Linked DNA regions of Oryzias latipes. The protein of the gene in region 1 purifies or fractionates together with the protein of each later gene. This does not show direct contact. Links are inferred from orthologs where the notes say so. Each region holds a gene or a part of one and is shown on either strand. Other genes may lie near its edges. The genes, in order: srrt and zc3h18.

Region 1 (4,280 bases):
TTCAGTCTGATCCAATCCTCGTGTACGGCTGATACACAGAAGAATCAATACATCACTGTGTGGAAAAAGCAACAAAGACCGTACCACTCTTCATCTTTATGAGCCAGAAAGAAGTCCTGCATCTGCTGTCGGCGAAAGTCAACTTTGTACTCATTGTACCGCTTGACTGCCTCCGTTTCATCTACAGAGTCATCCAGGGACAGCAGAAACTCCTTAAAGCTCTTCATTATTGGAGGGGGAGGACCCAAGTCCATCTCATGGATGCTACCAAGCCTGAGAGAAATGGGATAAGAGGAACTTTAGCTGTGATTAAGACAATTTAAGAACTAGGAAGTGAACTTCTTGTAATTGGGGTCAAAAACAAAGTCATGTTTTGGTTCATCCTAAACAATTCCAGCAAACACTGCTTTACCTGAATTATGTGGACAGAGACACTATAGTGCCTACCTTATTTATTTTCAACTAATTAATTATCAAAGACAGAACAGAAAAAAGAAAATACAAGCAAGAAAGGTGCAAAGCTAAAAGGTAAATAGGAAAAAGTAGCTTACAAATGTATGACCACCCGTACGGAAACAAAGAATCAAAATTTATTTTACCTTTTTTTTTTTTTAAAGCAAATTGGTATACAGTGATCCCTTGATTATCGCGGGGGTTACGTTCCAAATAGAACCCGTGATAAGCAAAACCCGTGAAGTAGAAACCTTTATTTTTTTTACAATTATTATACAATGAAATACACTATTATACATTGAAAAGAAAGAACAAACCATTTAACAGGCTAAATCAATTGTTTTTTTAACAAATAAAAGTACTTTAGAAACGTTTTTTCAACAAATAACTTCTGTAGTGTGCTGTCAAATAATAATTTCAATCATCGATAAGAACAGAAGGCTTTAAATTGCGGAGATTAGCCCCGCCCACCGCGACCCGAGTGGATTAAACGGAAGAAAATTTAAAATGATTATGAAAAAAATAAAAAAGTACAGTGGGACATATAGTGACTCCGGTCTTCTTTTTCACTGCTCTTCATACTGAGCCGCTGCATCCTGTGCAGCGTTTTTTCCTTCTGAAGCCCGCGGTGCAGCTGCAGGTGTGTTTGTTCGGGAGAGGAACATAGTGATAGGCAGTTGTTGTCGCTCTTTTTTCTTCTTTGCTAAAGATTCTTATACACCGACATGCCCCCATCGATTATGTTGGAGAACTGTAATGAACGGCTCATCAAAGGGTCCCATTCTTGAGCTACTCGCTGTGTGACTTTTTAGCCAATCAGAATGCAGAACACAATGCACAATCCAAATCCGTGAAGTAGCGAAACCGTGAAAAGTAAACCGTGATATAGCAAGGGATCACTGTATATCAAAAAGAGTAACAAAAACAAAGTTTTTAAAAAAAAATAAGCTAGGTTCTACTTCTCACCTTGCCTGAATTGGGATACCCTGATGCGGTTGCATGATGTGTAGGTCAGGATGACCCCAGGGCTGAGGTGGGCCATAACTGGGCCCTCCTCCACCATAACCTAAATCATAACCTCCACGGTATGGATCTCCGCCGTGATCGTCCCTACAACAACAAGAAGGTATACTTTACAAAAAATAAAAAAGACAAAAGGTGAATTGACATTGCCTCATCTTTACATGTGACCTTACCAGTCTCTTCTCATGCGTTTCTGATGGGGACTTAAATCATGGCGAGGAGGAGTAAATCTCTCTCTCCGGCCTCTGTCATAATCCCGGTATTCACCACGGCTACGGCGTTCCCTACCCCTGTCCCATTCTCTGGAATATTCATCAAAGAAAAAAATGCTTTAAAACGATCACAAATCAAAGGGTTATAAAAGTAACAATTGAGAACAGAATGGCATATTTTTTATTGTTTATTACCAGGTGAGATGGCTTCATAAAGGTTATACAACTCCACTATAAAATAAATGTGTGAAATGTTCACCTCTCGTTCCAGTCATCTCTGCGACGGTCTTCTCTTTCTCTGGAGCGGTCATAGTCACTTCTCTCACGTCTGAATTTATCCCTCCTTCTGCGATCGTATTCGTCATCGCTGTCTCCCATCTCCAAAATACAGACAATAGCATTTAGATCCACAGCCATTCATCGAATAAATTAGTGTTACAGCTAAGGGTATAACAATTATTCCACTTTCAAATGTTTGTGTGTACATTCATTTTATTTACATTTGATTATCTTGCAGGAAATTAAAGGAATCTGGAAAACTTTACCTGCACTGTTCAGTACCCAGGTACGTCTCTCTGATTCGCACTGGTTGAATATTTAGCTAAATGTCCTAATCGATTAAGTCAGTCAGTGTATCTATCAGATTGTTCAAAATGAACCAATGTCGAGTATGAACCATGTTAACAACCACAAAATATGATAAATCAATTCATTGTAAAAATGAACCGTTACACCGGTTAGCTAAAAAAAAAAAGAGAAAAAAAGCTATCACGTTTCATTTAGTAATTTCTTTTTAATATGAATATTAAGTACCTATCAATACAAGTTAAAACAGGTCATTTCTGCTCAAGAAAACATTTATGTTGTGTACTAAGAAGAGCTCCATAGTGAGAGGAACGGTGCGTTCAAGTGGAGTGGGAAAAACAATGAACATTCGGGGATCATCATTAGGCAAGACATGCTGCGCTAGCTGAATCAATATCTGACCCAGGATGAAAGCGTAAAACCTAAGCTAATTATTTGCAGTAGTGAGTATTGGTTGGTTAACCAAAAAATGTACTGCTGTTAGAGACTAAAACGAATCTTTATCATACTCACATTTGAAGAGTACAACAATGTAACGGCTAACGCTATCGTAGCCCCTGGCTAAGATTAGCCAGGACGTTAGCAATGTCAGCTAAATGTTTACGTTACTTCAAATTCAAAGCACACAAACCAGCCTCGCAGATGAAAACAATTTGCTTAAAATTATTCGATCAAAAATACTTTAGTTCAACAACAAAAAATTACAACGCATGAGCGAAAATACCTCGAATGATATTCAGCGTTGTCTCCCTCTTTTTCTTGGTGTTGGACAGCAGTGTTCGAGAAAGAAAATAGGCCAGAAGGCAATAGCGCCACCGTATGGTGTGGAGTGTAACCAAAAAATGTTAAAATTCATGAATCCATCCATCCAGCCAGCCAGCCAGCCATTTAAATTTAATAAACAAGGGACAGTAATTATTCAAACCTTTTTTATTCTTCTTTCTAAACATCTTCAGACATAGCATAACTTTACTGACACGCATATATTAGCATCTGTTGGATCGCTGTTTGCGTGTCCACATAATATAAAATTGTAAAGAAAGACTCCAAAAGCCTTGAAACCTCATTTACTATTAGCAAATGAATTTTTCAGCCATGATTGATGAACGATTGGATTGGAAAAGAACTTTAGTCTGGTTAAAGTAATAATCTCTATTTGTGTTTTGCTATGCCCATATAATATTGTTTCTGTGTACACCAAGTATGAGCAAATTCACTTACTAAGAACATATGTTTTTTTTTCTCCCCCCAAAATTATAATAGCAAGTTGAGTAACAGTAACAAGCAATGGCCTTACAACATATCTACCTTACATCTATCTATCTATCTATCTATCTATCTATCTATCTATCTATCTATCTATCTATCTATCTATCTATCTATCTATCTATCTATCTATCTATCTATCTATCTATCTATCTATCTATCTATCTATCTATCTATCTATCTATCTATCTATCTATCTATCTATCTATCTATCTATCTATCTATCTATCTATCTATCTATCTATCTATCTATCTATCTATCTATTACTTTTTAATGTTATACTACAGTAAAACTGGAGAAGGAAATGTAACTACGTAAAAGGTTTACTCCATAGAACTATTTAATTTGATAAAGTACTAGACACAACATTTCACAAAATAAATTATTTCAAGTTTTTCTTTGACAAAATTGTTTTAGACCAGTCCTCAGTAACACTATTGGATGTTTTGTTTTCGGTAAACAGACTTCGTGTTCCCAAAGTTTTTATGACATACCAGTTAAGGGATTTAAGTGAAATGTAAAATAATGTAAAAATTCACAGCAGAAGCGTTTGGCAATCAAGTAACAATTTATTAAATTTAACAGTAAAATGCTGAATCTAGCCGTTCTTTGTGCTCTTCTTCGTTCTTCCTCTGAACTTTAACTGCTGCCTCATGTAATCCAGGATGTCTCGGGGCCACACGTGAGTAGCCTGTGCTTCATCCTCCAGGAAAAACTCTGATTCCATCTGAGGAAAGGTT
Region 2 (3,823 bases), on another chromosome or scaffold:
AGAAGCATGTATGTGGTTGAGAGAGTATAAGAACCTCAATTCAGTCTCGATTTATTACAGAACACTAAGATAACAGAACATAAGAAGCTGCACAACAGCAAAGCACAGAGAAAACTGCAGGGCAGTGTCTACTTTCCTCTGTGTGATTGAGAGATCACAAAACAAATACATATTTTAAATGAAGTGTAACAGTAACACAAATACAAGTTGTTATTTTCATTTTTCTAAAGGGTAGAAGTACAACTTTATGACTTTTCCTACTGGGTTGTTGTCAGAGGGAAATCGACCCAAACGGCTCTGTAAGTGCTGAAGGTTGCAAACCCCTGAGATAAAGGAATGAAAACACTAGAAGATGAAAGCAGCTAATAGCCGGTTGTGCGTCCGCAGCGTGGAACCTGACCATGATCATTGGTCCTGTTGCGATTGTGGCTTCTTACCTCGGTCTGGAGACATGGCCATCCTCTTGCTGAGAGGGGAACCGGACCGGTCCTTGTCTGAAGGCAGGTACCTCTTTCTGTTGCCTCTGTCTCCCTGCTGCCCCAAAAGACGAATAATTCAACCAACTTTTTCAGAACAAACAGTTAATTTAACTGACAGAAAAACAGCAAACATACTGTTATTCCTTGGTAAAGTTCACAGCAAAACTTCTGATAGAAACACCATTAACCTTGTTAAGCAGGGTCAGTTTGATGTCTTTGTGGGAACCTGAACCTCCATAGCTTCCAGGGGGGCCACCAGCCACAGGTAGAGGATGCACAGGGGGGCCTCCCCTATTGCCAGGTCCAGATCGAGGTGGGGCACCAGCCCCTCTGGGTGGAGCTCCAGACTGGTCCATTTTCCTGCGATCTTCCCTAAAAAGCTCATCTTTCTTTGACGGTCTTTCTGCAATTAACAAAAACTTTCAGACTAAACCTCAACAAGCTAGAGTTTCTTTAAGACTGTGAGCCGGCCACGTGTTTGGTGGGACACTCACCCCTGTTCTTGTCCCGGCCCGGAGGCGAGCGGTCTCGTGGAGGCCTGCGCTCCTTGCGGGGCTGGTTGGGTGTGGGCGAGTGGGAGCTGGCGGAGGACACCGGGCTTGCAAGGTCTGCGTACATGTCGTCAGAGTCGGCGCTACGCATGGAGCTGCTGGACGATGCAGACGATACGGACGAAACGCTGCTGACACTGAGCGATCTGCGGAGAGATCAGCAGGCCGTGATGTTTGCATGCAACAGACAGGCCCAACACACCACAGCAACACATCTTCAGTCTACAGATTAAATGCAAACTTTTCTTATAGGTGTAAGAATTCTCAGCCTCCAGAAAGCCTTCGGTCAGCTGCAGCAGAGTGCAGGCGGGTACCTGGACTTTCTGGATCCAGAGCGGGAGCGAGACAGGGAGTTGGAGGATGACCTGGATCTGGAGCTGGAACCGGTGTAACTGCTGCCACTTCCACTCACACTCCCACTCACAGTTCTCCTGGAATATATGGGGAAAAAACCGAGAACTTCAGTCAGGACTGAGTGACCCCTCCCCCTCACGGTCCAAACAGGAAGCTCCAAGAAATCCGTCTAGGAGAAATAACCATCTGTTACTCAGTCATTTTTTTTGGTCAGAATGGCAATTCTTTTTTAACAGTCTTGAAAATCTTAATCCCCCCCCCCTAATATTTTCCTTTCTGTTGTGAAAGTTATTCAATTCCTAAACTGACCAGTCAGATGCCTCGTTAAAAGTAGGCGGTCTCACGTCAAATGTTCAAAACCTTTGACAGGTTCTCCAGAGCCCGCTTTCAAGTAATATGGGTGTGGACTTCCAACAAGCTCACTCCCGATGGGGGAAAGTAGTTGCCATAGAAACGTCGACTCAGACCAGCCTGAATCAATCACAGCTTACTGACGACGTCTGGCTTCAACACGACAACGTTCATAACACACAAAAATGGTGACTTTATTCGATTGGAGTCGGAAGTAAACCATTTTTTATGGATGACATCACAATCAGGCACAACCTGTATAGGTTGGTTGTGCCTGAATTCCTCCACTACTCACTTCGTAGTGCACTTTATAGTGTGTTCACTATTTTGTAAAGCTGTCTGAATGGGTATCCCCATTCCAGAATCCAGTTCACTAAAAATGTCCCAGAAGTCTCTGCGAAAAACAAGCGTGCATCAATGTTCACTAGATTGGGGAACATGGACCACAATGAATTGAGTTTGTACGATTTTAGCGAAAAAAAGTGTTTTTTAAATTTTTTTTAATGATAAACCAATCATATGTTTATCATCAGAACACAGCGGATTCATATGAAAAGCTCTTATTTATTAGATTTTCACTCTGTGAAATCGGTCACACCATTTGCAGTTTAATAAAAAAAAAAAGACGTGTCGTAACAAACACTGTGCTTCTAAGTTAATTGGTATGTTTGAGTGCCACTTTTATTCTGAAGGGCTTCAAACTGACTGTTGCTTAAAAAGCATGTCTGCACACACTCAGAGTGTTTTTCTCTTTAAATCTTTTTAATCATTCTGTAAAAGATAATTATATAGCAAGAACGTCCTGGTTCAAATAGAGTCTAGGACCTTTCTTTATGGAGTTTGCATGACACTCCGACTTCCTCCTATATTCCAAAAACATGCTTCACAGGTTAATCGGTATCTCTAAATTGTCCCAAGGTGTGAGAGTGTGTGGCTTTGCAACAAACCGGCGACCTGTAAGTGGCAAGCGGGTCACCATTTGAATAACACTGCCAGACTGCATTAAGTTTAAAAAACAAACAAACATAAAAAAGTATTATTTTAGTTTGAATTCGTTCAATCACAAAAACGTACCAATTTTTTCTCTCACTTCAACAAAGAATTTATATACAGACCAACAAACTCTGTGACCAACTCTTCTTCCTCCCAACTGAGCCTTGTTGTTTATAGGGCCTATATCATGCTTTTCTTAAGCCTTTCAGAGTAAACTATACACATAAATGATAATACATTATCTTTGGCACACTAGAGAATGATTTATTTTAATGAAAATGAGCTGGGAAATATATTTTCCCAGCTCATTTTCATACCCTGAAGTAAGTTGACTGAATCTCTGATTGGCTCTGTGTGGGTGCCGCCCGTTTCATAACATCAACATCAACATAGAGCCGGCCTGTGTCTGTGTTTCATTTTCTGAACTTTTGTAAAGATAGATGTGCATAATGTGCATTGAAAGGGGCTCTTCCTTACTTTCATAAGTATGAATTTGAGAACTCAGAGAGTAGGTTTTTCAGAGGAATACTCAGAAGTGCATGAATGAATCAAAATACAGCTTTGGGGTTATTTTTTGTGAGAAATTAACATTATAATACACTTTAAACTTAATTTTACATGGTTTAAAGCATTTTGAATCACTTGATTTGGTTTATTGAAGCCGTTCAAGAGTCACCCCATAGGAGACATACGTCTCTGAAAGATTCCAAGACATTTTAGAACTTTTCAAAATCTTTTGTTGCCAAACAGCTTAAAAAAGTACTTTTTCTTTAACATTCCAAATAATTTTCCAACACATAGTAAAGAAAAATAAATACATAAAAAACTATTCAGACAAGGCGCACACTTGTTTGACTCATTTTGTTGGAACTGGAAGGAAGTCATCTTCTATGGGTGATTTCACACTAAACTCAGACCAGTTTTCTTATACAGTCAACTGTGTAGCCACAGCTACTTATCCAGGATAACTGCTAATGTCTTTTTCTAAAGATGATTTTTAGTATTTGTTCAAATCAAACTTTATTTAAAAAACAAAACAAAACAATAGTATGCACACAAAAAAAAAACAAGTCCAATCTAAATACTGTGTCATAA

Evidence for each region.
Region 2: the proteins of srrt (region 1) and zc3h18 purify together in Homo sapiens (co-immunoprecipitation; 4 studies listed by BioGRID and IntAct, counting the BioPlex papers as one, with this or other methods). This does not show direct contact. The link is inferred for Oryzias latipes from reciprocal best matches to the Homo sapiens genes SRRT and ZC3H18.

What each region holds. Positions count from the first base shown.
Region 1 is NC_019872.2:15,817,170-15,821,449, forward strand, and holds the start of srrt (serrate RNA effector molecule homolog), read right to left. Parts: upstream 3,082-4,280; 5' UTR 2,998-3,081; exon of another isoform or gene 2,787-2,997; intron 2,067-2,786; coding exon 1,948-2,066; intron 1,779-1,947; coding exon 1,650-1,778; intron 1,564-1,649; coding exon 1,420-1,563; intron 274-1,419; coding exon 85-273; intron 1-84. UniProt on the Homo sapiens protein: Acts as a mediator between the cap-binding complex (CBC) and the primary microRNAs (miRNAs) processing machinery during cell proliferation.
Region 2 is NC_019864.2:26,635,143-26,638,965, reverse strand, and holds part of zc3h18 (zinc finger CCCH domain-containing protein 18), read right to left. Parts: intron 1,462-3,823; coding exon 1,345-1,461; intron 1,177-1,344; coding exon 974-1,176; intron 883-973; coding exon 668-882; intron 535-667; coding exon 438-534; intron 1-437.